Linked DNA regions of Mus musculus. The protein of the gene in region 2 interacts with the protein of the main gene of each other region in a pairwise test. Links are inferred from orthologs where the notes say so. Each region holds a gene or a part of one and is shown on either strand. Other genes may lie near its edges. The genes, in order: Sh2d1a and Arhgef7.

Region 1 (16,461 bases), on a different chromosome or scaffold from region 2:
GAGTGAGTTCCAGGACAGCCAGGACATCACAGAGAAACCCTGTCCCGAAAAAACAAACAAACAAAAAAATTACATCAAAATAAAATAATCATTCACAGGCAGGGAACTAGTCAGCAGAGTTAGAAGCATACCTGCTGAATGGGAAAAGGCATTTGCAACCCATTAACTTGATAAGCCTTAGGATCCAAAATATCAAAGATTTGGAAAAACTCAGTAAGAAAACAAATTGATTGAAAAATGGGCAAAGGACCTGTACAGATTTTTCACAAAAAATATATACAAAATGGACCAAAAAAAAGTATGAAAAAAATTCAGCATCATTCATCATTAGAGAAATGCAAATTGAAACCACACCTGTTCAAGTGACTCTCACCAAAAATATGAAAGGTGAGTATTGTAAGGGTGTGGAGAAAGAGAACACATGTACACTACTAGTGGGAATGCAAATTAGTAAAGTGATTATGGAAAACAGGAAGGTGGTTCCTCACAAAATAAAAAAAAAAAAATTAAAAAGGTATGACTCAGCAATAGAATGACTGGACGTGTATCCAAATGAGATCATTATGTTGAAGAGTCAGTGCTCCCCTGTTCAGTGTAACACCATTTACAATAGAAAAGATAAGAAATCAACATTAGTGTACAAGACCGGATGAATGATGGATGAAGAACGTGTGATCTAGACATGCTGCACCTCATATGAGGGAATCTCGATTTTAAGACAAACAAACAAAGACACAGAAATGAACTAACTGAGAAAAAAAGACCAGAAGAAGGGAAGACAAAATGGTTTATGGGGCAAATATGTTCAAAATATATTCTACATGTAAGAAAATAGTATAATAAACTCATTTTGTACAATATGTGCTAATTATTAATGATTTAAAACAAAACCTGAAATATGCATGTAATTGAATACCATTCAAACTTAACGAAAATGTTATCTATTTTTGACAGTAGGGATGAACCTAAATGGCAGATATTATGTTAAATGAAATAATACAGGCACAGAAAGACAAATAGTACAAGATCACAGTTACGAATAGAATCTAAAAATACTGAATTGACAGAAGCTGTGAATGCTGTGCCTTTGTTAATCACAAATTTTTTAAAAAATGTAATTCATTTTTTAAAATTGCTACATGCTTCTGACTTCCTCTGTGAATATAGACAAATCAAGAACTGGATCAATTTTCACTTCCTTCTCCCACTGAGATGCTTTTTGAAATTGATCATAAGCGCAGCATTTAGAATTTAAAACAGTGTAGTGTTTAAATTGCTGCTGTTAATTTATTTTCGTAAGTAACACATACCAAAAGTGTGTCTTATTTATTGCTGATTCTAAAATTTGACTTTATTTCACCTAAAGCTGCTTTTCAAAGGTGTTCAGACTGGCAATGGGCAGGTACAAAGCCGCTCAGTTTGTTTCTTAATTTCTCAGTGAGTCAGTATGGTAGGTAGGACTTTGCTTCAAACCAACAAACCCACACAAACTTTCTGGATGCCCACTAAAGGACTTCTCAAAGGAAAAACTGTAAGTACATCTGACTTCTATATTCTCAGTGCAAATAATGCAAGCTAATTCCTATAGTCTCCTTTACACAATATATCTAAACAAAATATTTACAGATATATACAACATTTGGAAGACAGGATTATGGGCCGGATTTTGAGGGACTTCTTGTGCTTTGTGAGAACTCATTCTACAGATGGGACTGACTTCACACTCATGGAGGTACTCAGACCTCACCTACTAAGTGCTGAGATTGCAAGCAGGAGTCACTGTACCTGCTGTAACTAAATTTTGAGCAAATATATTACATCCATAGTAACTGCCACATGCATACAAAGTCTTCATTATTAAAACTGTATTCTCCTTCAAGAGGTTTCTAATTTTCTGTTTTCCAAACTTTATTCTTTTGGAGTGGATATGAATTTCCAGTACAAGCTAAAGTCATTCAATATACAGACTAATGTAAAACTACATTCTTCCCACCACCACTTGGTGGTGGCAATCCATGGCTAAAGAAAATGGAGGAACCTAGCCAAGGTAAAATTTACTAGATAACAGGCAGAGTTACAAGGGCTGGAGAAATGGCTCACAGGTTAAGACCATTTCCAGAGGTCCTGAATTCAATTCCCAACAACAACATGGTGGCTCACAACCATGGATGGAACTGGATACAAATATCATGTATGCTCTCCAATTTGTTGTTGTTAGCTTTTTGTCTTGAGATATGTGTGAACGCCCATAGAGATCAGGGACCATAGGTGGCTGCTTTCAGGGACAAAGAGATGGCATGCAAAAGTATGCAAGACTTAAAAAAGAGTGAAAAGGGAATACTAGAACAGGAAGGGTTAAATTGGGGTGGTGGTGGGAAGGCAGACCAGAAGACAGAATAAGGGGAAAGATAAATAACAGTAAAACTCTCTCAAAAAGGTAAACCTACTAATGTAGATGTTTACTAAAATTAATAAATGTACACATCTATATAATTATTAAAGTGGAGTTACTCTACAAAAGGGCAGCCACTAAATATCACACACTAGCAAATAAAGTTCCTAGTACCAGGAGTGGATCATGACTTTTTGAATTTTTGGCCAATGAGGTCCCATAGACCACCATTACAGGTCATTGCCAGTGTTCTTGATTACCCTCCAGAACTTGACAGGAAGACCTTATTGCTGAAGACACCACACACTTGAAGCATAGAACACAACAAACCCAAGCTGATACAGACCTGGAAGCTTCATCTACATAGGCTAATCCATAGTGCTGGAAGGCGCTATGCACACTGTCGGTGGAGAAATGTAATCGTCAATTTCATTCCTCAAAAAAGGCCAGAAAGAGAACTCTCTTATCCAAAGCCATATAGGACAATGGCGTCATTCTGTGTCTTCGAGGCTAAAGAATTATAAATGCATTTCCTCTGCCAAATCTTAAATCAGAGAAGCATAAAGTCAGAGAGATGTTAATTGTGGACATATGGTATTTTTCAAGCTTATTTTTAAAATATTTTAATTCGTTTTTCTCTTGTGAGCCAATCCAGGGAAGTGGCTATTTATCTTAGAGTGAAAAGTGAAAACTTGTAAGGGTATAATATGTACCTCAATAAAAGAAACATGATATACCCAGAAGAAAAGAAAGGAGTAAAATCTTACACTGTCTCTTTGAAAAGAGTTAGTTATCTAAAGATTATAGTTTTTCCTTAATTTATTATTGATGTTAATTTAATCTAATTTAACAGAATTATTTTAGACTTTGTCACAAAGAACCAGTAGACAAGGGTACCTAATAAATTTTAAGTACGTTTGAAAAGTATGGCACACTAATTCAATTAATGCAAGTACAAATAGATCAATTGAACCAAATAGTCAAAGAACAAAAACCATATTTTGACTATTCAGTTCTTTTAGGTTTTGGTAAAGTAGCCCAACAAATAAAAAGTGGAAATTCTATTTAGTAAACTATGTTGGACAGTTGAAAACCACTTAGAAACAAATCAAATTAGATCTTTTATGCACATAGAAGTAAAATTCAAATGGAATTAAAGAGTAGAATATAAATTAATAAAACCATATATTTAAAACAAAAGAGTCAAGTTTTATGTATCTAGGGAGGAGAAAAGATTTTCTAAGCTGAGATGCAAAGGGAAAAAAATCAAGCATGAAGAAGCTGTGTGATTCATTTTAATACTAAAAGTATTAAATAACAAACACCAAACTGATAAAGGATATCTACAACACATTAAGATGTGTCCGTGTATCTGTGTGTGTGTGTGTGTGTGTGTGTGTGTGTGTGTGTGTGTGTGTGTGTGGTGTAAAGCAATAAGATTCAAATCATCAAGTGATATAAGTATGCAAATAACCACATAGAAAACATTTAGTGCCACTAACAAAAGCTAAGATATCAAATTTCAAAGGGAACTATTTTTAACAAGAATACTCATTGGTAAAGGAAAGTACACATATAAACTATAGTACTCCTTTGGGCAAAGATATATTGTGATCATTTATATGTAGAATTTATAATTTAAAGTATTGAATGATTCAGTTGTCAAAATAAGAGGCTGATGTATATGTATGAAGTCATACAAGAACAGAATTAGTCAACAAACAGTAAAATAAGAGAAAAATATGGTCTAGAAAAATATGGTTCATTTACAACTTAGCTGAACTAACATACAGCTCTTATAAGATAATGCTTTGAATTTATTTGTGAAAATATTGCATGAGTCAGCTTTTTTCATACTAAGTGGAAATTGCAGCAAAATGTAATGAAAGATGTACATGTTCAAAAATATTCATTTTATTGTGTAAAAGAAACGTTGTTTAAAACTTAATAGTAGTTGTCTTTAAGTCATAATATTATAGATAATTTTTTCCATAAATTCCATTGTTTTCAAAGTCTATATCCCAAATGAGTATAAAAGACTATTTTGATGGGCTCTTTTAATTCTAATTTTATTTAGAGTAAACAACTGGAAGAAAGGCTTCTTGTTTTAAATGAAAGTAGCAGTCCTAGAAATGGAAGACTTTTACAATATTTGAAACATTCTATTTTCGAAAACCTAACAGGAAAAAGGTCCCGTGTGACTGAGATTTAATCTGGGAAAGAGGCACATATGGTTTGAAAATACAATTCTAAGCATAGTTTGAACCATACAATAAAAATAGAGTAAATTGAAGTTTACAAAAACCTTCGTGGTTAATGAGAATAAACAAAACATAAAATAAGGTGGTACTGATTAAACAGACACTATTGTGGGTTTTTTTCAAGCATATATGATTTTTTTTTCTACTCTAAATCCTACAAATCAGTATTTTGAGTAAGGAATGTAGATTAGGATCCAAATAACATGTTGCACGTACCATGTAGTGCCAATAAGAGAGAATAAAATGTTTGTGTGTAGCAAAAGGGGCACTCAGCTCAAAACAAAACAAAACAAAACAAAACAAAACAAAACAAACAAAACAAAACCCTGAAGCACTTATCAAAGGCAAGAAAAGCATTCCTTCCACAGTTGTCTGGCCATAACCTTGAAAACAACAGACCATCATTTTAAAGACTGGAGGAGAATTCTCCACTTCTCTATTTTCATAGGGAGAGGTTTTCAAAGAGAAGTTAGTCAACAGTAACAACAACAAAAAACAAACAAACAAGCATCTTACATTTATACAGCATCCCCGGTGAGTGAAAACCAGAAGGCTGAGAATTTCCTTACATGGTTCCGGCCTACATACCAAAATACTAAGGTTCCTTCTCTTCAAGATTTCACTTACAGCCATCTTTTATAACAGAGGAAACAACAGGTTTCTATTTTACACGGATGTAAGGTGAAGCCCCAGAGAATTTGAATGACTTCCTAGAGCCCCCACCCTGGCTTCTTGGCAGCCAGATGCCCTTCATAGTGAAGAGCATATGCCTGAACAGTTAGTCGAATTCCAAACTGTTTGCTGAGTGCCTATTATGTACCAGGATATAGTCCTGGTAGAGGCAATGTTTGCTCCTTTGTGAAGGTAGTTTCGTGGTAGAGCCCATATATAAGTAAACAAACTTATATTAGCATGTTTAAAGTTCCTTGAATAGAAGAAATGGGATAGCAACCCAGAGAGGGCACTTACATTTGTGGGAATGATCAAGAGATGCAATGTTGAACAGAAACTGGACAATCCTGAGTAGGGAGCAGGCTTAGTTACCTTCCGGGGTGACCAGGTGGGAAGAAAAATTCAAGTGTGAGCTGTACTGTCTCCAGCCCTCTCTCCCCTATATAGGCTTCATGTGAACCTTCTGGTTAAGGAGCATGCTCCTTCTATTATCAGTGTGCCCAAAGCAGCCCGTCTCACTCACCATCCTTCATCTTTTGACAAGTTAAAAATAACTAAGGATTGTCATTGGCTTCCCTAGCCCTTCTTAGGGTTCCACTTGGGAACATAAAGGTCCAAGCCCAGGGTTGGGCATCTAGCTTAATAAAAAAGCATTTTTCAGGCACATATAAAATTCTGGATCCTGTCCCCAACACTGAAAAATGATTTTTCCATATATTTACCTTGAAGCCTTTATGATAAATGTATTTAGCATGATCTTAAAAACTGACAAAAATAAGGCTTGGACATTTTTTTAAAAAAATCAATATACAATGACAATCCTCTCACACCAGCCTCAATTTAATCTTTATTTTCTGGCCCAGAGAGTACGTCAAATTTTTGCAGTGTATCATCATGTACAGAACTCACTACCAAGCATTTTTGTTTTGCTTTCATGTAGACTCTACTGTATTAGAGTGAGGTTTTACTGGGATATATGTATAAGCATACAGTATATATGTGTGTGTGTGTGTGTGTGTATATATATATATATGTGTGTGTGTATGTATGTGTGTATTATGTGTGTGTATATGTGTGTGTATATATATATATATATATGTATATATATATATATATATATCCTGCTTACAGTAGTGCTTGAACTGGGTCCTTCTGTAGACTGCCTCAAGGAGTACCGGAATAATTTGTCCAAAAAGAGACTAATAATAAACCAGACTTCCATTTGCTGAGCGTCAAGCCCAGTGTTCATTTGTCTTTTTTTTTTTTGTACATGGAGGTATTTAATCTTCATTGACCCTTAGAATATGAATCCCATTTAAAATCAATGGCTAAGAGATTGGTGTTGTGAGATAACAACCTTTTGAGTCTGACTACAGTAGGATTTGCTCAGGGAGGTTGTACAGAGCCAAGATGCAGCTGCACCTGGTTCAAAATGGAGTAAGAGGCTGAGACCAGTCTAGGCAAAGCTCAAAGTGGGATAATTACAATGATGTTTTCTCCCTCTCTCTGTTCTTTAAAACTATTCTCACTCCTATCATTTACGGGACACAGCACGTTTTAAAACTCATTATGCCTCTTATAAAACAAGGCAATTCAGCAGCACCAGAAAGGTGCCCCTACTCTTGCATACACATCCTCTTCAGCACTGTACTGCTTTAGTGTTGTTGGCTACTGTTTTTTAATAGGATCTTATACTATGTAGCCCTAGCTGGCATGGAACCGGCCCATGTAAAACCAGGCTAGTCACCTGAAACTCACACACATCTGTCTACCTCTGCCTTCCCTGGGCTGCATTCTGAAAGCAATGGATTCCATTTCCTGGCTAACCACTTCTTCAAGCATTTGCTAGATGCTTTTCTTTTAGGGTACCATTTTCAGTCACATTTGTAGAGAATGATAGAGAAAGACCTTCCTTTGCCTTACTTCATGGCCCAGAATACAAATAGTCCAACTTCCCGGGGCTCCACCATCATGGTGTCTACTTGGAATCAGAGCCGAAGTCCAGAGTATGGGTCTTTCTCAAAGTAAAGGTAAGTTCTAGGCCATGTTTTCCCATTCTGAAGGGTATTCAGTGAAGCTGCCACAAACGCACTGGTGAAATGCAGTTGATAAAATCCGCAGTGAGGGACGTACGTACAAGTACTGCCCACCACATCCCTGGGCTGAGCCCTGGGACCATACGTCAGAGCTGGAAGAGTACTCAGTTCCTGCTGCCTGTATTCCCTAGGTACCTCTGCCAAAAGCTGTCATCCCCTGCCACTCCTCCCAGCCCTCCCCTGAAAGGGCAGGCTACCCATGCTAACAACCTGCCACTACCACGAGATATACTCACAAAACACACAGGCAGTACACGCCAGGGACACTCTCGCTGTCTCGCAGCAGATAGCTTCCATCCAGCCCGGTAGCGAGTAAGAGCTTCTCCCCGGTCTCCCTGCTGATTTTGCCGTGGTACACAGTCACTGCATCCATGCCTAGCAAACTCTTTGATGGGCCCAGAAGAAGGATGGTAAAAAGGAAACTTTGCTGCTGCTGTTGCCGCTGCAGTGGCTTACTGGGCAGTATTGAGAGAGAGAGAGAGAGAGAGAGAGAGAGAGAGAGAGAGAGAGAGAGAGAGAGAGAGAGAGAGAAACACCCTAACAACAGGATGTTGTCTACCTGCCTTAAAACCTCTTCTCACACTTCAATTCAGGCCAGCTCAGCAGTTTAACAGCTTCAAACTTGTCATGGGTTTGATCATCTATTCTCCAACAAAGGTTTGTGGTGGGGGAGGGGGCACGCTGAAAAGGTGAACACTTGCAGTATTTGAGCTGTGCCAGCAACGCAAACAGAGCTTGCACAAAGATGAGAAACTTGCTAGTGCCTTTGTTCTTGTGTAGTTCCTGCAAACTTCGAAGCCATTGACAATGACTTGTCTTAACGAGTGAACAAAAGAATTGGTGATAGAAGTGAATGGGACGTGTTCATCATGAGGGGCAGAAGCAGACTGACAAAATAAAAGCATAAAAGCAGTCAAGCTACAAAACCACAGCAGAACATGGCTGCAAGGCTTCCACAGCATCACCAAGGGCTACTGAACTACAGACTTTGGGACTAGATGGTCCTGAAACAGCTTTCTTTTCTTCAATGCTGATGATGGAATTCGGGGCCTCGCAGATGAGGTCTTCTATCCCGAAGCCATATGCCAAATCCTTGAATACACTTAGGCCAAAACAAGTATTTTTACCTTAATGTTTTGTCCAAAATCCAAAACTATGAAAAAAATTGTCATCATATTAAAAAAAAAAAAGTGTAGATGGATCTAGCTAAGGAGCTTAAGAAGACTAAATTCTTTTGTTGGTACTTCTTTGTTTTTATTATTATTAAAATCACAATATAATCACAGCATTTCTCCCTTCCCTTTTCACCCTTGAAACCCTCCCATGAATCCCTCCCTGCTCTTCAACAACATTGCTATTGTATTATTGTATTATTGCATGCATATATGTATATACGTGTAATTCCTAAACACATCCAGTTGTGCCTGTATGGTGCTATTTGTATGTATGTTTTCAGGGATAGCCATTTGGTAGTAGACGACCAATTAGTGTGCTCTTCCCACGGGTGACCACTTCTTCTACTTCCGATTTTACTCAGCTGTCTGTAGTTCTTCCTGTAGAGCTGCTGGTTTGTGGGCTTTTTCTGTCCAGTTTGGTCTGTCCATTGGTGTCCTGTGTGAACTTCTATATACCCTTTGGCATATGGGGCTAGGCCAGAATCATTGTGGATATAAAATCCATTTTACATCATCGCACAGGTGTTGATAAATGTGTTGTAACTTCTATTCTCATACATAAATGCCTACCTACATCAATGTTAAAAACATCAGAGTTTAGCCTAACCAGGACTCTATTTAGAAATCAGTTATAATGATGGCATTTTAAATATGAAAAGAAAGAAAGGGGTAATCTTCTTTTATTAAGGCATACGGACAGTAGCCCACCTAGAGTGTAACTGCTAGAACATTCAGTGTTCCATAGGTTAAAAACAAAACCTAACCTCATTTTTTTTGTCTCTGAACAACCCTGAACAAATCATCTACAAACACAGGCACAGAGAAACCTGGATCTGACGGAGCAAGCATCCCATGCATTCTTTTCTTTCTGTTTCATTCTGCATTGCTAAAATAGCACGCTTGTCAAAGCAGCCAGGTACAGTGGGCTTCAGCACAACGAAAATCACATCACAAGAGAACAGTTAAATTATACGGTAATAGTACAACTCTCACATCCACTACCTTATTGTCATCTCACAAGCAAACTGACAGGTGAGCCAGCCCACCAGTGCAGTGTTGATGAAAAATACTGACACCCTTGCTCTGCTGCTATGCAGGCACTAAGCTTGACTTTGGCAAATTCAAACTTCACACAGAGCTTGAAGTGTAGAGAATAGAGGAACTGAAATAGCTTTCTTCCTTCCCTGTCCCTGTACCCACAGTACAGGAAGACAAAGATCACATAACAGAGAAGGGGAGATAACAGTGACACCAACAGACAAAGAGCTAAGGAATGGGCCCCATTTATGAGAGGAAGAATCTACTTGTATGTTGCCTGTCTCTATCACTTGACCTTAAGGTGCATATCAACAGGGTCTTATATATGTTGTTTGCCACTGTATCCTCAGAGACTGGCACAGAGTGGATGGGTTTAGTGAATGAATAAATGTCTGAAATTAAAATTGTCAAGAAAACAATATGAAATTATCTCTCCCCCTTGTCTGTCTGTCTCTTTCTCTGACTCTCAATGTCTATCTGTCTGTCTCTCTGTCGGTCTCTGACTGTCTCTGTCTATCTCTGTCTCTCTCTCTCTCTGACACACACACACACACACAGAGAGAGAGAGAGAGAAAGAGAGAGAGAGAGAGAGAGAGAGAGAGAGTGCTTTTCCATTCCTTTGGCTCCCCTTAGAAACAGCGATGAGAATTGGAAGGTATTTTGAGGTCCAAATTGTACTCCACCTTTTATCACTAAATGGTTTCCTCTCTCTGAGCCTTATTTTCTCCATCTGTCAAATGGAATTGAGCCAGGTGAACCCTGAGTAGTCATTTTCAGCTTCAACATTCTGTGCTATAAGTGAATGAATAAATGAATGAATGAATGAATGAAGCAAGCAAGCAAGCAAGCAAGCAAGCTTCTTTGGAGAAAAACACAGGGGTAGCTCATTTTTTGAGGAAGAAGCAAGATCCTGAAGTCTCAACAGGAGGAGGCATTTGTTCTCATTGTTTTTAAAATAATCTCAGAAATAAAAACTATCATAGAGGAAGAGTGCCTTATATTTTAAAGAAAACGTTCTGAATATAGATGCCATTCAAGTCCAACACCAAAACATTGAAAGCTAGAAAACCTGTCAGGCAAGGTTTAAAGGGTCTTCTTGTCTAAACTTGTCTCCTCCTGAGATCTCTGAACAGTGACAGGATTTAGCACGTGGATACCCTGTCTGAGGTGCTAATTGTCTGTATTCCAAATGCCCTAGGCTATTCTGGAGCCCAAGTAGATTAAAAGAAAGATGCCAAGGGTGGTCAGTTTTGTATAGTACATAGGACATTTCAGAATCTTGTTCTCTAACCTTTCAAAACTACCTTTGTTCTTCTACCAGCTTCTCTAAAATGTGTGAATTCTCCTGTGGCCATGTTATGATGTGGTGAGTTTACACATACTCTTGGCACTTAGATTTACTTCCTTTACAAAAGTAAGAAAAAATAGTCTTAGAGAGAGAGAGAGAGAGAGAGAGAGAGAGAGAGAGAGAGAGAGAGAACCTCTTTTCAATAACACCTGAGTTTATTTATAAAGCTATATGTTTTCCTAAATGCCCTCTTCAAAGAGAGAAAGCAGACACAAGGTTGCTGTGGGTATTTGTTTAAACCTGTTAAATATATGTATTATTCTTCCAGCTGCTAATAAACTTCTATTGTATGTCAGATCCAATAGTTGGAACTTAAGTTAGAAAGAAGAAAACCATAGTTCATACCTGTTCTCAAGCAGCTCATAGCAGGATGCAAACAGACAATTAGATTCCAGTTCTTGTGTTGAATGCTTAGAGCCCACCTGGTGGCATTATTTTGGGATGGGATAGAAATGTTAAGATGTGGACCGTACCTGGAGGAAGTAACTCACTGAGCATATGCTTCTGAAAGGGGCAGCTAATTCCAAGTCCCAGATTCTCTCCCTCTCTCCCTCCCAGCCTTCCCTTTCCTCCCCACCTCTCTTCCTCACCATCCCACTCCCCCCTCCCAGACACCACTGGCAAATCAGTGCTCCTCCTCCCGCCTTCTTTGCCATGATGCTGCACCTCACTTAGTCCTCTAGAAACATAAGACAAATTATTCCTGATACAAATTTCTTACGGCAAGGACTGTGTCACAACACTACAAAAGTAACTAATACAAGCTATGATAGAGGAGAGGGTGGAATTCTCACAGCACAGCAATACTACATTTTGTGCTATTTTTATTCTGAACATATAAAACGTACTTAATGTGACAATGTCTTTTATCTTTATGTCTACTGTGTATAGTTACTTACTCTAGTTTGCCTGATTTTTCACCTCCATCTTAAATTCAAAGAAACTTAGTTCTAGCTGAAATGGCATGGTTTTTTGAGCTTCGCTTTATTTGATAGTATGCCTAGGAAAGACCTTGCTTGGATGGTTTGTTGTTCAGGTTCTCAGGTCCAAAATATGGATTATCATTTATCCATCCATCTATCCAAAAATAACAGTACTCTGAGAATAATCTGTTCCTAAAGTGATCTAGCCAGGTTTAATGGCACATGCCTGTAGTCCAGCAAATTTGGGAGAATTTATTGAGCCCAGAAATGTAGACCTAGCCTCAGAAACCATAGAAAACTTATTTCTTAAAAATTGGAAATAAATATTCTAGGTGTCTTCTACACAAGTCAGAAATTGCTACACAGACAAAGTCTTATTGCTCAATTCTTCTTTTCTAGATGAACGAAGGCAAGTCGTAGGCACGTTTATCTTAGTTTCCTCTGTGAGTATAAACAAGATAGCATATTCTACTTTTCTAGAACCTAACAGATGCTCAAGAGCTTTTTGCTCTGAGCTTGTGAAACCCTGGGAGACATGGATGATGCCATATTCCTCTTAGGGCATACATATCCAAACACAGTACCTGACATCTGCTCAACATTATTCTTTCCTTCCCTATAGAGAGAGAACCTCCTACAGAGTGCAGTTTCCAATTTGATTCCAAGGCTGTAACATTTTTTTCATTGATTTCTTTTACACAGTCATTTACCAATGTTTATCAAGTGGTCTGCCTCATCCTCGTTGGCAGAAACAACTCTTTACACACCTCTCCTTAGCTACTTATAAATAAGTCTTCCTGTGTCCTTTTGGCTTCATTATCCCAGTTACTTTCAGATAGTAACCAAGTCATCTTTCTGCACCCTTTATTTCCAGATGAGGTATCTTTAAAAAGATGAGACTCTAAATAAATTCCCATCTGAAAAGCTGTTCTCTCTCTCTCTCTCTCTCTCTCTCTCTCTCTCTCTCTCTCTCTCTCTCTCCCTCCCTCCCCTCCCCTCCCTCTCTCTCTCCCTTTCTCTCTCTGTCTCTCTCTCTCCCTTCTTCCCCTCCCCCTCTCTGTCTGTCTGTCTCTCTGTCTGTCTGTCTCTCTCTGTCTGTCTCTCTCTTTCTCTCTCTCTGAAAATATAACATTTTCACCATCAGAGCTCAAACTGGATTAAAGTGCAAAGTAATGCTATGTTATTTTGTTTATATATTTTTGCCTGAACATTTTTTAAAATCCTCTGATATTTTAGAACATGAATTATCGACTCCAGCCAGGGAAGCAGATCAGTGCCTTTCTCAGCCATCATCAGAGAAGCTTCCTCCAGCAACAGATTGGAACAAATATAGAGACATTACTCAGAGAGTAAAGGTCTTGCAACCCTCATTGCTAAATTCAATTCTACAAATCCTTCCCCTCAAAGCTCAGATAATCTTCCTGGAAGAGGAAGAAGAAAGAGTGTAAGAGCCACAGGGGATGGAGGACACGAAGAGAGCAAGGCCTCTGAACCAAAAGGACACACACACACACACACACACACACACACACACATACAAATGCACAGAGACTGAAGCACCAAGCACAGGGCCTGCACTGGTCTGTACCAGGTTCTCTGCACTAATATTATGGCTTCCAGTTTGTTGTTTTTGTTGGGTTCCTGTAAATGAGTGGATCTCATACCTTCTTTTGGGTTCTTTTCCTTCTGTTGGTTTATATTGTCCAATTTCAATGTGATAGTTTTTTATTTTATCTTATATTTTAGTTTATTATATTTTACAAACAAACAAACAAAAACGAATGAATGTAAACCTTGTCACTAGTGTAAAGGTTAACAACAAAACTGTCACTTACACCTGCTGAGAAGGGACAATCAGTTTTCTCCAATAGAGTGACACTAGGTATATTAACCACTCCAGGGCAGGCCTCATGTTCAGGTGTTGTTGACTAACAAATAACAGACTCCACAGTTTTTTGTGTGTACTTTTATTTAGTTACAGTTTGGTGGGGTGTTTTTGTGTTTGTTGTTTATTTCTTTGTTTTGGGGGTAATGTTGTATTTTGTTTTCTATATTTTGGGTATTTTGCTGTTGTCGTGCATTTTTTGACTAGGTTTTTTTGTTTTGTTTTGTTTTGTTTTGTTTTGTTTTTTGAAAGATCTTAAAGTCAAGTGGGTAGGATACAGAAAATGATCTGGATGAAAGTCTTAGGTTTTTACTGCTGTGAACAGACACCATGACCAAGGCAACTCTTATGAGGACAATATTTAATTGGGGCTGGCTTACAGGATCAGAGGTTTAGTCCATTATTGCCAAGGCAGGAAGCATGGCAGCATCTAGGCAGGCATGGTGCAGGAAGAACTGAGAGTTCTACATCTTTATCTGAAAGCAGACTGACTTCGAGAAAGCTAGGAAAAGGGTCTCAAAGCCCACCCTTACAGTGACATACTTTTTCCAACAAGACCATACTTACTCCAACAAGGCCACACCCCCTAACAGTGCCAAGTATTCAAATCACCACAGCAAACTTTGGAGGATGAGAAGAATATGATCAAAATATATTTAAATTTAAAATTGTTTTAAATAATAGAAATAAATCTAATGATATAGGAATTTTCAGAATGGAAATCTGATGAAACAAAAACTAAAAGTTATTTTTAAAAACATGAATTATCACTTTGATATCACAGATATCAAAAGTTGGCAAAGGAATGAAATAGACTATATACATTTTTTAGGTACAAATCAAATATTGTAGCCCTGTAAACAAAACAGCTAATGGCAGATTTCTCAATGGCAAATAGTAGTATTTACATATGCAACATTTACATTCTTTTTCTCTTTCTTCTCAGTGATATTTCTTGGAAAAATCCTGGCATCTTTTTTTCAGCAAAGAGTTCAATAGCTTGAGTATTCTATAATAGCTTGAAAAGGTAGTTCAGTAGGTAAAAATGCTTACCTCGAGTATGAGGAAAAGAATTCTGATCTCCAAAAGCCACATAAAAGACCAATGGGTCTAGTGACCACCTATTATCCATGTGGCAATTGAAGCAGGGAATCCTCAAGCACCTTGCAGGAGTTTGACACCTATTCTATTAGTTTAGAATCTGCAAACTTCCAGTTCAGAGAAAGACCCTGTCTATGAAGAACAGTCAATGAAAACACCTAGTGTCAAACTCCTGTACACACACATACATGCACACATACTCATCTAAACACGTATACCTGCACATACACAAACATGTATATATGCATATATACATACTTCCTGCATACAATAAACATAAAAGGAAAAAAAATCAGGTAATGGATCCTAGAGAGGTGGCTCAGCAGTTAATAACATTTGCTTTTTTTCCAGAGGACTCAAGTTTGGTTTCTAGCACCCATGTCAGGTGGCTCAGTACCATGTGTACCTTCAGCTCCAGGGAACTGTCTCCTTATTCTTGCCTCCAAGGGCATCCACATGCATGTGCACTGACACTCATAAAATATTAAAAACTATTTTAAAGTTGGCTATGTGTGTTCTGATGTTTATCTAACTCATACTTCCATATAATAGCTTATCAACAGTCAGGACAGAAACTCAAAGCAGAAACCTAGAGACAGTAACTAATTCAGGGGCCAGAGAGGGAGTCTGCTTACTGACTTACCCCTGAAGGCTTGCTCAGCCTTCTTTTTTTAATAGAACCCAGAACCACCAATCCAAGATGTTCCCACCCACAACGGATGGGGGCCCCCCAACAGGTCCAAAGGAAACTCCAACACCCCAAACTCAAAAAAAAAAAAAAAACCTGGACTATAGGAGGATTTCCAGCGCTTAGGAAAGTTCAGTATTCCTTGTGAACTTATGAAACTCTCTCACCACAAGGAACCATTTCCCTTCTCTCTGGCTACCTGTGGTGTCTGTCAGCATGGCAAAGCTCATGCTGATCTCAGGCTCCCTTGGTAGTAGGAGTACCAGGCTAGCATCCTACCTCCTCACCTCCTCCCCTACCCGAAACTTCCTCCAGCTCTTGGACTTTCCTCCCCTCAGCTACTCATTCTCTTCCCCCCTCCACCCCAAACCCCAGTAACCTATGTGTTCTCTCTCTCCCTCTCCCTCTCCCACTCACACTTCCTTTCCCTGCCCTCCCCTCCCTCTCTGCCCCCCCCCCCCGCCACTGTCCTTCTCCTCCCTCACTCTCCCTCTCTCTTCCTACCCTCTATTCCTGCTTTGCTTCTCTCATTATGCTTTCTCTAGTCTCTATCCCCTGCCATTCTCACCTGTCTTTCAGATAGCTCTGGCTCCCGGCCATGTTCAGCCTATGTCTTTCTCTCTCTGCTTTGGACTCTTCCAGATGCCTCTGGCTGTCTTTTTCATATCTATAATAAAAACCTTCCCTTTAACCATACCAAAGAGCAGTCATGCCATCAGTTTATATTCCTCTATCAATCACTAATTAAGAAAATGGCTTACAGACTTGTCTGTAGTCCAAGCCTATAAAGGCATTTTCTCAATTGGGGTTCCCATCTCTCAGATGACTTTAGCCTGTGTCAAGTTGAAAAACAAAACAAAACAAAGCAAAACAAAAAAAAAA
Region 2 (15,636 bases):
AAGCGTGCTCCTTGTTGTAAAAAAGAACGTATTCTATAAAAGCCACTTCCGAGAGATGAGAGCTTTAAAGTGACTGAAGAGTATAACCAACCAAAAGCCCTGGGACTCCCTGTTGTTTCTTGAGCTAGTGTGAGAAATCCCAAGGGGCTGCTCTGTAATGGCTCAAGACTCAGAGATCTCAAGGTGGCTCCATGGGGTAACCTGGAAACACACGTCCCTGCTTTCCTTGATCAGATAAGCCAGACGGCACGACAGCCAAACTCTCCATGCAAACAGCCCCAAGAGTCTCTTCCATGTTACCTGCAAACTTCTTCAGGAGATGTGGTGGGGACCTCTTGATTTCTTTGGTGTCTTTCATGGTAGCAGCTGGCGGGGGATACAGGGATCAAATATGCCTGGAAGACAGGAAACCTCAGCACAGGGAGTACAGGAGTTGTACACTTAAAAGATAGCTTAGGCCACCTCAGCACACAGGGACCTCCGAGTATTCACACCTGAAGACAGGTCAGTCAGGACACCTCAGCACAGGGTGGCAGTGTGGCCATCTTTGGGGCGTTTTGTACGGGTACTAGAGAATTAACAGGCCAAACTTTGAGGGCTTCTCCTGGCCTCAGGGTGGAGGGGTAGTCACCAACCTGTCCATCAGTTCCAGAACTGAGGTCTGTGCACTGCCTCTCTGGTAGCCTCTAAGAAGGAACAATGTTTTGGTTAAGCCACGAACTGGCTACCTCAGCTTCTTGTCTACGGCTCACAAGTAGCTGGAGGTCAGGGTGGACAGAAGGAAACCAGTCCCTGCTTATTGTGACATCATTTTGAAGCTCAAGGTCATAAAAGGGTTACACAGCACCTCATTCTATGGACTGGGTATGGAGAGAGGGGGCCAAGCACACTAATGGGCTGGGGAAATCTCCCCTGTGTAAGGTACTGTTCTGAAGCCTCAAGTTAGAATCCAAGTTGCTCCTTCCTGAAAGCGTGGTGAGCTTGGGAGCAGGATCATATATTTAAATTTCGCCATGTGACTTTTGTTTTCTGGGAGTGTTTTCGCAAACACTACTAGGGTGCAACCATGAACAAAACAAGGTCCCCTCTATCCACAGGAGAAGGAACAAGGCCCTGTGAGTCCTATGCCTCCATCCTCAGAGTGGGCCCCTTCTGCTTATCACAGTGCAAGCATGCCCTTGGAAGGGGGCTGTGACAGTGACAACCTTCCTTTTGCTCCTTGCTGGAAACTGCCATATGTTTCAGTATTTTCCAGGTGTTGCAAGAATCCCAAGTAGGTCAGGGCTGGGAAGTGAGCTGCTGGAGATGGTCCCCTTTCTAACTGCAATGCTCTGTGGGGACCCTCCCTGAGGTACACCACTGAAGGCCAGCACAAGGCTCTGGAGCCTGCGGAGGCCGCAGTGCTCTCAGCTCTTGCTAATGTAGATGCAGTATTTCATTAACTTGGTTTTATTTGTAAACAAATGTGGTTGGCATTTAATAACCAAGAGGATGTGTATAAGAAGCAGCTCTTGCAAACATGGCAACTTTTACAGAAATAAAAGCTGGTGGCTGCATAATATGAAGGAAATTAATTATCCTGGGAGCTACTGCTCCCTGGGGTGAAGCTGTTTATCAGCCATCACTGAGGCAGCAAGCACAGCCAGGTGTGGAGGAACTGGCCGCTGTCTTGCATGTGGAGGGTGGGGAAACCAGGGACTGCCTAGCAAGGCTCCCTTGCTCTCAGTTTTTCCAATCCGCCAAGAGCAGAACCCTGCCACAGGGCAGAACTGAGCTGCAGGAACACCTGGGCTCGGCAGAGGCAGGGACCCAGGTCCCAAACAGCCCAGGGCTCAGGTCCCCAGTGAGTTCCGAGGGAAGGTGTGTGCATGCTCCCAGCCCACAGTGCCACGGCCAGAACCAAGAAACTGGGCCCACAGAGCACCTTTGAGTCATTACTCAGACCAGGTCTGGGTCGTCTCCCGTGTCTGCCCTTTGATGGAGACCCCTTGATGCCAGTATTGACCAGTATTAACATCTTCACAAGGTTCTTACACAGTCTTGCTAATTTCCACCCCCTCACAATCTGCAGAACTTCTTTGAGATGTAGAACAGAAACAAACAAGTCCAGGGCTTCCTAAGCATGGCAGGAGACAGGTGAGAAGTCAGCACCCTCGTACTCTGGGACCTCAACCATTCCCACTGTCATCTGTTTCAACCGCCATGGCTTCAACACCCTCCGATCTAAAGGTCTTCATCTTTCACTTTATTTCTATTTAATACTTTTCGTTATTAATAAAAATCGACTATCTTGCTCCTGGCCTATTGAAAACTGATCTCTAGACAAATATTCTATCTTGCACCATGGTTTCGAACACACGTTTATATTTTTTACACAAACACTATCGTTGGCAGCGGTGAGTGTTCCAGTGGGGTTTCTGTGACCTGTGCACCCTCTTTCTGCCTTCACTTCCCAGGCGGACACTGGGTCAGTGGTGAATGAGACCCCTCTTCTAGTCAGAGAAGCTCGCCTTTCCGTGGTCACTAGTGTGCTACCTGTTGACAGTAAGCCCTAAGCCCCAGAAGACAACCAACCACATATCCGTTACACAATCTGCAAAGCCGAGGGCCTGGTTAGAGCAGTGAAGAGCTGGAATGATACAGCTCTACATCCAAACAATCCAGAGTTGGCCTTAGCCCTGCAACAGCCATTCATCACCCTACTTCTGGGTTAGACCTAACATTTACCTTAACAGGTGAAGCCTGTTAAAATGTATCAATATACCATTAGCATCCACACAGCCAAGAGCTAAGGATGTAATTTCATAGCATCTGAAACCTACTATGAAACTCCCCTGTTGCTCCGTGCATGCCCCCACCAGGGTATCACTAAAGGTATTAAAGTGTGAATGTCATTTGATTTGTGACTGTGGGTGTCCGTGCAACTGTTCCTGGTCACTCCGATTTGTTTCGTGTGATGGGAGCTGATACTTATGTCTCCTGTGACCCCAACAGTTCCCAGAAGATGAGGGAGTGTCCAGACCACAGCTATGTTAAGCAGTGCACCTGCTTGATGCTTACCTAGCCATTACAGGGCCTCCCTTCTACACACCTGCCCTCAGGATTTCCAAAACAGCAGAAAGTAACTTAGAGCAGAGAACTGTCCCCATTTAAGGAGTGCCTAAGGGGGTGAATTCTGTTAAAGGTACCTTGAGGCCTGGCCTGTGACTGGCCACAACACAGGCCAGTGCAAACCTTCCCCAACAGCACCCTGAAAGAAAAGCTAAAAAGGAAATGCTTTTAGAAGAGAATGATGCACCAGCTAGCCTGCCCCTCACCCACAGGTCCCTTCTGGGAGGTAGCAACAGCAGGCCCCAACTATATTATTGGGAATTTCCACAAAGCAATCGACCGCTACTGTCGATGACAGAGGTGGGGAGTGGCAAGGGCAGGGGGAAGGGACGAAAGGACATGAGGATGGGCTGGGGCAGAGTTGAGACCAGGGATTCTCGGGAACAGAGGTTCCCAGTGTTGCTTCAGGGTCAGGTGCTGGGAACCAGCCAGAATAGGAAATGCAGACAGACGGATGGACGGACACACTGAGAAATGAGAAAAGCCAGGTTGGGGGCAAGGAAGTGGGGAATTCAGGCAGATTCAGAGTATGTAACAATCGGGGGCTGCTGTGCAGAAGCGTCTCTGTCGCACGCTATGGATACTGGCGTCCAGAGCTGTCTGAGTCCTGTCCAGAAAGGATGGCACTCCACCTGCATCTCAGAATATAAGATGTTAAAAGTGTTTGATCCATTTTGAGTTCTCTGAGCAGGTAAGACATAACTGGAGTGTAAGTTGCTCATCTGTGTTCCCTGCTGTATGATCCACAGTAACAAAGTGAAGGAACCAATCTAGGTGTCCTTAGCAGAGGAAGGAAGGAAGACAACATGCCATGTCTGCACAGCCATAAAGGAGCAGCTATGTCACTGGCAGGAAGACGCTGGAGACTAGCATGTTAGTGGACAGGACCCCAAGAGACAAACAGGCTGTTTTTTCCTCTCACATGTGCAACCAAGGTTACCTGTGTGTACACACATTAGTTATATCAAGACACAGGAGAGGGGCTGGAGAGATGGCTCAGCACCGACTGCTCTTCTGGAGGTCCTGAGTTCAAATCCCAGCAACCCCATGTTGGCTCACAACCATCTATAATGAGATCTGATGCCCTCTTCTGGGGTGTCTGAAAACAGCTACAGTGTACTTACATATAATAAATAAATAAATCTAAGAAGAAAAACAAAAGTCAGAGGAGAGATGATTTGGGGAGAAGACTGGCAGTTGGAGGAAGAGGGTGAAGACACAACGAAAATACCAGTGTGAGAGCCATGGTCTCATAAAACACTAATAAAAACAAAAGGGCACATCCACACAGGAAGCCAAAGGCTCCCCGCACTTGGGGACCAGGATAGGAGTGCTGGCCATGGCTTTCAACACCCCTGGACCTGGGCTGGGACACACACAGTGACCCTTAGACAGGTCTACACTGCAACCCAAGCTCCTGTCCTCCAGGGACAGTCCGAGCCACCCTGCCTGGAGAGCAATGGTCTGAGTGGCTGTCCTGCTTCTTATCAGCTCACCAGCTGGCTGCCATCAGGAGCGGACAGCGAGCAGCAGGAAGCCCGTGGGGCAGTCAGGGATGGGGCAGGTAGGACAGGAGGGGACAGGAATGGGGGATAGGAGGGGTGGGTGGGAAAGCAGCAGGCCCTGGCTGTGAAGGTAGCAGCTCCTTCACAGCACACACTGAAGTTGAGTGGGACTGAGGGTCCGAGAAGCCTCATGTCCTGCCTGCCATTCCGCATCACCAGACTCACAAGCTTCCAGACACTGTGGTTGTGCTGAGCAGCAGCTCTGTCTTGTAAGCCACTTACCCTCCATGACCTGACAGGGAAGACTAGGTACAGAGCAGGGTCTATGGCTCTGAGAAACCTGCAGGCCATGGGAACACTACATTAATGATTTCCACTAAGCTTCCAGCCCATTTACTTGGTGTATGCTCTTCTGGAGCCCCCAACTTTGCTACTGAGATTCCCCAAACCACGTTAGAATCTGGCCCTGGGGGCTGGAGAGAACAGCCTGTCTATGCCAACCCTAAGAAACGCCCGTGTGCTTTTGAGGCCTGAGGCTTGAGAGGCCGTGCAAGGACTGACTGCAGACCCACAGCTGCCTTTTCCCTTAGAGGGATGAGTGCTGCACTTGGTGACCAATCTGTGAGAACTGCCCAGGTACGGACGGGAGCCAGATAGGGACAAATCACAGTGCCTGTGTAGCCCACAGCATGGCAGCCCAGGTACCCTTTCACATGGCTGCCCTGGCAACCGACAGCACCGTCCGCCAGAGCCGAGTCCTGCACTGCCTTAGAGCCCTTCCAGACAGGGCACTCTCACTGCAAGAGCTGCGTGCCCCAAAGCCAGCTCACGCTCCTGACTCACTGGGCTTGGGCTGAGGTCCACCTCAACCCCCGCGCGTGGGGTGGGTGTTTGGCCTACATCTGTATCCACTGCTTGCAGGAGCTCTGGATGACCAAAGAGCAATCTGGTAGAAGATGCTGCAGTCCATAAAGCATTGAGGCACAAAGGTGTGTGTGTGTGTGTGTGTGTGTGTGTGTGTGTGTGTCTGTCTGTCTGTCTGTCTCAAACCTAGGAAGGCCTGCTACTGCCGTGTCTCTGAAATCTGGTACGAACTTCCTAACGGGACTCGGGACCAGCTCCTGACCAGGCAGAGCTGATTGAACAGCAGCAGTAATTTTCTTTTGTAGAGATCCCAGATTCCTTCAGAGCACTGCCTTTTGTTTTAATCCAGAAAATGGCCCACATCTTACCAGCAGTTGTTATTCCAATTTAATGGGAGTGGGAGGAGGGTGAAATTCGGGAGAGAAACTACTCCTAGAACTTCTGTTTCCCACTCTTACCATCCTTAAATGCTCCCAGATTTCAACAGTATTTCCCTGCATTGAACACATCAGGATTTCAAACCTGATAAGCCAAGACATGCACATGGAGACCGTCTCAAGGAAGATGAAGCAACACGTTTTGTGAGATAAGAAAAATAAGGAGTTTAATAATTGCAAGGGTGTAGCACACACACACTGAGCAGTCGACCCCGGTGCGGTCTCCTGTCGTGTCCCAGGAAAGTGGGGGTTGGCATGAAGTGCACAGGGCGCATGGGCAGCAGCTGGAGGAGAACAGTGGAGTTTCGGACGCTGCTACACCGCAGCATGGTTCAGAACGGAAAGTGCTTCACATCTACACGACAGGAAATGGCTTGATTCCCCCGCATCCCTTACAGAACACAGAGGACTTAGGAGTTGGTGAGAGGCGCCCTGTGCTGTTGGTATCAAAGCTCCCCGCGCAGACACGCAGGAGAGAGAAGTGGGTGTGTACACCAGGGCCGGTTTTAAAAAGAACTGCTCTTGGGTGCAGATTCTCGCTCCCTGGAGAGCCTGGAAGACACTGGATCCTCAGAGAGACAAGGCGGCGTGCTGACAGCCTAACCACCCTGTCCAGGGTAGGGATGCTGGGAACATGAATACTCATGGAACACTCCAAGCGAATCATTAAGGCAGGTCTGAAAGGAATTGTCCTGGGGCACGGACGGCAACCTCGGCGGTGGCAAGGACACTGGCGAACATGGTCTTTGCTTCCTGTTGATGGAGGGGCTGCCCAGCAACCCCAGGCCCCTGTGCCAGCAGTGGAGTTGCAAGGAGTGTTGTTCCTGAGTTGAGACCTGCTGTGACAGCAAACACACTGCCTTTTGCTGCAGTGTCTTCTGGGTCAGCAGAGTGCTTGGAAAACAGGGCTTACCAAAAGGAAAGGAACAGCTCAGCTTTTCTCACCCCGCACACTGAGCTGTAAATGCTAACAGGGGTGGGAGGCTCTGGTGGATCCTGACAGACACAACCCATAGACACTGCAACCAGCTAGAGTGTGGCAGAAGGAGAGAGCACAAACGGCCTCTAAGTGCCCACGCAGAAACCTCCACAGGTGGGTGGGTGGGCGGGGGCTGGGTCACGTCCTAGGGAAAGAGGCTGTGCTGAGGCCCCAGTAGCACACATTGCTCTTCAGTGTTTAAAGACAAAACACCTTTCTAAGGGAAAGTATCTCTGACTTGAAAACAACCTCTTTGGAGGAAAGAAGGGACAGCTAAGCTCCTGAGGTCACTGTTAACTGTTGCCAAACCAGGGGCAAGCATGGCCTAACAGAAGCAGGGCCGCTTGCCCAGGCCACCAGCCTTCCAGGGCCTGCCTGGGCCTGGCCTGGGGAGGCAGCAGAGTAGGGCGCAGGCACAGCACTTGAGGGCTCTCGCTGTGCTGCTCCACTTGGGGTTTGTATTGCTTTATTCTCGCTCAGAGGGTTAGGAGGGCTTTCAGTGGCCTGGACAACGCTGACTGCGGCCAGAGGCAGAGCAGAGCTCCTGGATGAAAACAGCCTGCAGCCAAACCCTGCCCGGCCGGCAGCACCGGCTAGAGAGTATGGAATAAATAACACATCTATGTACAGGGCTAACCCACTTCTGCACACTGTGACCAAGGCCCAGACAGGACAGGGCAGGGCAGCAGAGGCGGGCACCACAGGCAGGTAACAGTTTCCCTCCCTAGAACCCATGATGCCCTGGGCACAGCCATAGCCGAGACTGGAATACTGCAGTTAAGAACAGAGACACACAAATTCACTGTGCCCGAGTGCCTGTTCCCGATGGCACCATGGAGCCTGCGCTACACACGAGTCAGACAGCTGCCACGGCATCTCTTCACCTTTCTGCTTCCAACACTTCACAAACACAACTTCAGATCCCTGTGGCCAGAAAGGCTGAGAAGGAAATCCTAGCAGGAGGGTTAGCCCAGTCCCATCTCAGGTAGGTGCTCAGATCCCAGTATTTACAAGGAGTACACAGGTATGCTATTTATAGATTCAACTCAAGTCCAGAAGCCAAAGGACTCTGGTCAGTCACTGCATGGAGAAGTGGCAGATATGTGCACACTCAGCCCAGACCTCAGTGTCTATAACTCACATGTAGCTACTTCAGCAACAGCCTCATTGCTGCTGCTCGCCTGATGGAGACCACCTTCCTTAGTCCTAAATGTCACTGTGCTGGAAGCCAAGGGCCCCAGCCATGTCCAGGAACTGCTGCTCTTCAGCCTATGAGAATGAAGTCAGCCTATAGATTGGTCTCATCCCAGGCAGGGTCGTTCATATTCTTTAGAACCTTCCTCACCAGCTTCTCTAAGTCCTTGCGGGCCCTCTGTTCCTCCTCTAAGGACTTCTTCATCTTCTTGTTATCCTGTAAGGCAAGCAGACAACAGCAGGTTCACTACCTCGGCATCCTTCATCTTAGCTGAATCCTTCGGTAGCCCAGGTTGGGAGGGGCCGGCCAACCGAGCTGAGTCGTGAATGTACTCTGGAGAGTAATGGCAGTCTCCTACTTACACGCATGAAACGTGCCCGAAGGAAGGGGCTGGTAAGAGGAACAGGGACAATGTCTACAGACCCACTGCTAGCATTTGTAATTCCCCTGTCCAGTCAAACACAGAACAGAAGCAATAGCTACTGAACGAGACATATCAGGAAGGGAGAAAAGCATACTGCCCCAAACACGAGAAGGGGAGACAGGCACTGCCAAGTATGTCCAGTTACCTCACCCTCAGGACACTGCTGCCCTGTCCCTCCAAAGCACTGAATATACACATCCTACAACGGCTCAAGCAGGTGAAGGGGCTTGCAGGGCAAGTCTGACATCCAGAATTTGATTCTCAGAACCCACATACAAGTAGAGAACCCACTCCACATGTGCCATGCCATGTGCCCCACCCCACATCAAACACAAAGTAATAAAGCACTACTTAGAAGTTAGGCAAAAGACGGGCCGCTCGCACCCAAACAGCTGTGCTGCACAGGCAGGCATCTCCTGCCTCTCACTCTTGTGTTTTAAAATGATAATTTATTCTTTTTTAGACATGCATGTGTGTGTGTGTATACTGTTTTATACACGGGGTGTTTTTCCTGCATGTATGTCTGTGTACAATGTGTATGCATTACCCACAGAGGCCAAAAGGCAGCATTAGATACCCCAGGACTGGAGTTAACAGATAGGCTTCCATGTGGATGTGTAAGCTGAACTTGGACCTTTTAGCCGCTATACCATCTCTCCAGCCCTTGCCAGTCACTCCTATCTGAGAAACGGTGTTGACTTTGTGGTTTCCTTTCAGTATACAATGAGCTTCACGTTTAAAACAGTATTTCCCTTTTTCTCCCATTTAAAAAAAAAAAAAAACTAATTAAAAGTAAAAACTGGCTGGCGTACCTGTCTTAACTCCTGGACTTCATCCTTTAACGCATACACCGTATCCACGAGGCTCCTGGAACAGGAGAGCGAGTAAGCACAGGAAAGGCCAAAGAGACACAACACAGACGGGCAGAGCCTCCAGGGTGGAGCCCCCCTAGGTTCCTCAAGCTAACCCCAAGCTTAGACTGTCACCCATCTGAGGGGCTGCACCCCAGCCTCCGGCAGACTTTAGAGATCGTGCCACCCATGGGATGGTGGGGGAGCCAGCCAGAACAGAATAGAAAACCATCTTATTTATTTTCTATCACTATCTGCCTGAGATGGAGTGGGGTGGGGGTGGGGAGCCAGCCATAATGGAAGAGAAAAGCATCTTACTTTTCCTCTATCACTGTCTGCCCATTGCTCTTGGTTTCTTCGACTATAATTTTTTCTTCTTCTGGAAGCAACACTTGTGGAGCAGATTCTTTGCGTGAACCTGGTCATTAGAAAGAGAAGGCCCACGTGAGTGCCACCTGAGGGCAGGAAAGGACACCTACTTCACTACAGTCACTTATCACACAGCACCAGTGATTGCGCAGGAAGACCTTTCACCACTTTCCTCCAGCTGTCTGCTGAGTGTGGCCAACCAAAACACTACAGAGCAAAGGAAACAGCAAAGGCAAACTAGGCAAACTAAGTAAAAATCGCCTCTTTTGCGAATTATTAAACTCTCTTAAGTACGTTAATCGCTAGCTAACAGCAAGTACGCTAAAGGTCTGTCCACACTGCACTCAACACACAATCGAGGTTTAAACCATTATAGCGGAGCAGCAACGCTGGAAAGTCCAGACCGGGAAAGAATGCATAATTCTTGTGCTTATAAATGAAAAAAGTCTGGCAATTGAAAAAAAGTTTCAGAGCTGGAGTGGTAGCTCAGTGTGAAGGGCTAAGAGTCACAGCTAAAGCGTCAAGAAAAAGCTGTACAGTAGTAATGGCTTTTAAAACCCTGTAGCACTGTAACACAATGGTTTAGGAGAGGTGCGGTTTACTGACTGATCACCAGATGAAAGCATTCTCAGCCCCTTGAGACACACAGCTTCCAATGGCAGCGGGAACAGGCACATGGTCCTGGCACAGACGTTGGCTGGTAACCACCTCATGTGTCGGACGCACAATGTGCTGCAGACACTGGCCTTGAAAGGATGGGTACCAGGAAGAATTACGCCATGTGACTGATTATTCTCATTGTTTTTGCGCACCACCACCAGGTCCGCACTGGAGGAAGGACGGGCTCTGCATGAATATGGACGCCTGCTGAAGGACGGGCTCTGTGTGAATACAGATGCCTGCCGAGGGCTGTGCTGTCACAGCTCTTGAGGAAAAGCATGTGACACGAGGCAAGATGACTGTGCACAAGGGGTTAATTTGCTTTTGTGTTTCTGGGGTGCCCTTTGTCTGTCTTTCTGAAAGCATATCAGATTTTAAGGAGCACTTCTTGTGCACCCTCGTTGGCATGGAAACCCTAGAATGGTGTTTGAGAGAGAAAACTGTGAAGAGCAGCTTTTCATGCAATTTAACCCGAACCTGTGCTCTGAATGCACTGAGGTGAGCCCACTGCTGTCTAAGCTTATGAAATGTCCCTGGCATGTAGGGACATATAGCTGTACATCAGGCTAACTATGGGGCCTGGAAGACTCTGTGTATCTGCCAAGCCTATTGCACTGGAAGGTACTCAATCAAGGCCAGAATGACAGAGACTGGAAACACCTTGGGGAGTTCAGGAGTGGCCATCAAGCCAGGCCTGCCAGGCCTATGTCACAGAGCACAATTTTGTCAGTAAAAGGAGGCCCTGTATATGGTGAGGTAGTCCAGCCTTGACTCCCATGTGAGTAGGTTGTCAACATCCTAATATGCTCGGAGTATACTCTTTGTGAAAGACTATCCCAAATGATAGCCACCCCACCCTGGAGGGGTTGCAGCTACGTGCTCTAGTGAGGACACACCACCTATCTTTCTCTCTGTGTCTCAAGTCCTGGAGATGGTAGGCTTTAACATATAGTCCTAGGGAGGGACATATTTTAAAAACCAGCAGCAGGCTGACAGTGTCAACCCCCACCCCCAGGAGGGTGCAAGTGACAGGCAGATGTCCTTCCTGGACAGCCTCTTTGATTTAGCAGGAGCCACTCTGAGGCTCGTTTCCTATTGAGCACTGAGGGACACAGGTCACACAAAGAAAGCATGTTTACGCATGCCTCCCACAGGAGGGCAGGTGTCTTTAGAGGAAGCTAATGCATTCTGAAAGTGCCCAAAAGTGAGGACCAGAGAAGTGCAGGCGTCTGCGATGCTGGACCCCAGCTCCTGGGGGAAGAAGGGGATCCAGGAAAGAGCACTTGGGATGGCTCTCCAGGCTTCCCGCTGTTACCCTGCAGCCAAGTAGTATGCTTGGGCTGAGTGCTGATGACTCTGTTAGTCTTGGTGACCACCCTGTCATTAAACTTACTATGGGCTTGAGAAGGCCCGGCGGGTGAGGCCCGGCGAGGCCTCGTCACCATACCAGAGCAGTGCGGTCCGCGCACTTCCTCTCAGCTCTTCCAGTCTTTTCTCGCTGGAAAATCTGTTTCCAGCATTAAAGCTTTCAGACTCTGTAAGAGACTGAGGGCTGCTCTACACTTACCAAGGACACTTTGCTGAATGAAGGTTGACCTTTCAGTTAACCATCTCTTACTAAACGTAGTCCTAAATAAAAGCTATGAGCTCCAGTAAGTAACGCAATAGATCTAAGGGACTAAACTTCATGGCAGCTGTCAGTTTGAAAACACATGACAGGGTCCTGGACATGAAACTGCTCTGTGCACAGGGCACCAAGACCTCAATCAAAGTCTAAGACTGTGCTCTGGGTTGAAGGTATAACTGCTCCAGCTCTGAGACAGGCAGAGGGAACTGCTGTTGAGCCTGATAGTGGGTGACGGGCATGTAACGCAGACTGCTCATCTGTACAGCAGGCAGACACCCGTCAGGTCACCATAAGCCACCCATCTTTCAACACAGCATGCATTTCTAAAATGATTTTTTAAAACGTGTAGCCGCCTTTCAACAAAACAATGAAGTATAGCAAGCCAGTTTGTAAGTTAGTGGTATCTTAAGGACAGCAGTTTTCTAAAATACATACTCAACACTGTAACTGAGACATTGCTGTGCTTAGTGGCATCAGAGCACAGTTTTCTTGAATACCTAGGTTGGAAAAAAGCATGTAACCACAGGACCAGAGAATGTGCTAGCACTTTACATGGTGCCCCATCACAGGAGCTGGCACAGCAGCACACTGTGAAGGCTCTGCAGCGCAGTGCAGAGCTGTCTTACACACTGTGGTCCCTGGGGCGATGGCGTCAGGATCTGCTGTTGCTTGCCTGAAACACTGCATGCAGACCTTTCCTGGAGGCTCACAGCGCACTTCTAGAACACTACAGGTTTGGGTAAAGCAATAAAAAAGGACTCCTTTTATTATAATTCAGTCTATCCAAAGCTCCTCATCTAAACATTGGACTTCTTAAATCTCAGCATCAGTGTCACTTATGGTGTTTATGGGTAACAGCATGAGAAGTGCCAGGTGGCCTCACAGCCCCAATAAAAACTATCAGTCTGCCCTCACCCACCATTATGCCCTCCATGTGCAAGTAGAGAAAAAGACACACGCGTCAGACAGAACAGTTTGCGATCAGCCCAACCTGGCACTTCTCATGCAGACTCTCCAAGAACAAACCTACAGATGTGTCTCACCAACTTCAAGTCCTGCATGAAAATTTTACAAGGTCATTCTTTGCTGGGGACGCCTACAGGCTCCAGGTCCTATGGCAACACCCACTCACAGATGTGATTCAAGACAGAGAACATGTCCACACCAACAGAAACACAAGAGTCAAACACTAGTAGTCTCTAGTAGTATCCTGCCCTGCATTGTCAAAGGCCAACAGGCTGTGGGTCTCGGGTGAGAAACACAGATCCACGGAGGCTGTTAGAGCCAAGGATCACCCCAGACTCCTTCCTCGTGTCAGGGACCACGGGATGACATACAGCTAGGACTCAGCGATAGCTAAGTCATCTGTCCAACTCTGTAACTGTCACACCCTGTGTATGTAAAAAAAGGATGTGGGCACACACAGGTATGTGTTTGCCTACCCAAAGCAGTAGCTAAGTCTGTCACAAATGAGCATCAGCCCACCTGGCCAGTGGCCTGGCACACTCGGGACATGCTCCTGCATCATTTAAACACAGCTGATCCTACTTTCAGAACAAAACATAGCATTACACTTAGAAGATCTCTTCAGGAGCATCCAAGGCTCACAGGCTACACTAGCTATGGCTCTGGGGTTTGGATTGGTTTTCCAACCTAGAAAAAGGAAGGGCTGTCACTACGAAGGGCTTTTTCTTCTGAATTAGGAGTGCAATTTGCAAAACGGAAGGGAAATGCTGGCCCTGGTCCAAATGAAGGACTTAAAAACTGAGCTTCTTTTCACTGTGAGGAAGGGACGCAGCTTCTGAGGACAAGCCTTTCAGTGACAGGAAACAGGAAAAAAGCAGCTGGACCTGGGGACACACCTTTGATCCCACCTTCCAGGAAAGAAGTGGGCAGAGCTCTGTGAGTTCCAGGCAGCCAGGACTACACAGAGACCCTGCCTTGTACTATTTAGACTACATCTTACCTAAGAGAGTGCCAGTCCTCAATCACAGCAAAAATGCATGCCCGTGGACGAATGCCAGCCTGGAGAATTGGCCATGGCACACTCGGCTTCAAGCTATGCTATGCCCTCCCCCATGTAACAAATATTAAAAGCCAAAGGCTAGCAAATGCAAAATTTATTTCAACTGTACAGAACAGATGTCTTTTTAAATATAAAACAGACACTTCATTGCCATATGCAACCACAGACAATAAGCATACTGTACAATACAATGCAACATTCAGATATACATCCAAGTGAGTTTTCAAATGGGAGTCTTGTACTAAAATGGCTTTTCCCATTCACAGATAAAGAGCACAATATATAATTTCCCCAAGATCTTATACCACTATATACATATTATTGTGTTTTGGCAATCTTACGCCAAACACCGAGTTAGTGTAGCTTAATAAAGACTTCTGACGAGTATCAGTTAGACAGGAACACTGTTGGGCCACCTACAGAAGGCCCGAGATGGCTTGGACCTACCTTCTCCATCAGTCTGCATCTTCCGTTTAACACTCACTGCATACAGGGCTTTACAGAGCTGCAGAAATGTTAGGTGCTATCAGCATGACTACAGTTCCACAAATGTAGAAACGATGGCCCCTCCAACGCTGTGTCCCCTCTGCTACATGAGGACCATCTCCTGTGCCTGTGGCACTAACAAATTTCTAACCAGGTCACAAAACTAATGTCAGACATTCAAAACAAACGCAAAAAGGTTGAGCTGTTGTTCCACAGTGTGGGCCTCAACAGAAATTGTCACCCAAATGGCTCTTGACTGGGACAAATGAGCAAGGGCAAACTGTCAGAACCAGCTCAGCAGCGCCGACCACAGCGACAGCTCCTTGAGCCAGCAGTGCCACTCCAGTCGGTGTGATGAGAAAACCCGAGTACAGCAGCTGTGCCTCACTGTTGCAGCACACAGCTGAGGACAGGCAGCCCATACTGAGGCAACGACAACCACCATGTGGGGGGACAACAGAGCCGCCTCATCACTAAATACAGACGGTTTGTGTTTGTTTTGTTTTTCAAAATTCCCATTTGCTATTTGGCTGAATCCATACAACCTTATTCCTATTGGAAATTAATACTGGGTGCAAGTTTGAAAGGCTTGCTCCTTGACTTTCATATAAAAATACAAACTCTTCAGGGGCAAAGCTGCTGCACAGCTACTGGGGACAGACAGACAGACTCAGTGTGAGCAGCTGTGCTGCCCTGCAGCTCCAGGTCAACCCCCTTCATGCACAGCGTGTGTGCTCCTCTACTCGCAGCAGCAGGACCAGCTCCCAGGAGAGGGAGCAAAGGGGTCAAAATACTGTATCCACTAGCTTGGCAACAAGGACTAGGGGTCAGAGGTCATGGCCACCAGAGCTCCATGCCCTGAAGGATGGAAAGAACATTATTCCCTATGGACACTGTGGCACCGTTTCTAAAGCAGGTGTCCAAAAACACTTAAAAAACAACCCTAAGGTTACACTGTAACACCACAACACCCAGGCCTGTGCTGCCCCTGGAGGAGCTATCGGGTGGCTGTCCGCTCTGATACATTGTAACACCACCGTACCCAGGTCAGTGTAGTTTCTCGAGCAGCTAGCTGTGGCTGTCTGCTCTAACTGAGGCAGCC

What was found.
Region 1: the proteins of Arhgef7 (region 2) and Sh2d1a interact in binary tests that used the Homo sapiens proteins (3 or more experiments, as listed by UniProt). The link is inferred for Mus musculus from reciprocal best matches to the Homo sapiens genes ARHGEF7 and SH2D1A.

The regions. Positions count from the first base shown.
Region 1 is NC_000086.7:42,494,056-42,510,516, reverse strand, and holds the start of Sh2d1a (SH2 domain-containing protein 1A), read right to left. Parts: upstream 7,953-16,461; 5' UTR 7,795-7,952; coding exon 7,658-7,794; intron 5,698-7,657; exon of another isoform or gene 5,625-5,697; coding exon of another isoform or gene 5,623-5,624; intron 5,196-5,622; exon of another isoform or gene 5,172-5,195; coding exon of another isoform or gene 5,170-5,171; intron 2,793-5,169; coding exon of another isoform or gene 2,739-2,792; intron 1-2,738.
Region 2 is NC_000074.6:11,825,641-11,841,276, reverse strand, and holds the end of Arhgef7 (rho guanine nucleotide exchange factor 7), read right to left. Parts: exon of another isoform or gene 14,128-15,636; intron 9,785-14,127; coding exon 9,685-9,784; intron 9,383-9,684; coding exon 9,328-9,382; intron 8,308-9,327; coding exon 8,185-8,307; 3' UTR 6,058-8,184; downstream 1-6,057. UniProt on the Homo sapiens protein: Acts as a RAC1 guanine nucleotide exchange factor (GEF) and can induce membrane ruffling. Functions in cell migration, attachment and cell spreading. Promotes targeting of RAC1 to focal adhesions. May function as a positive regulator of apoptosis.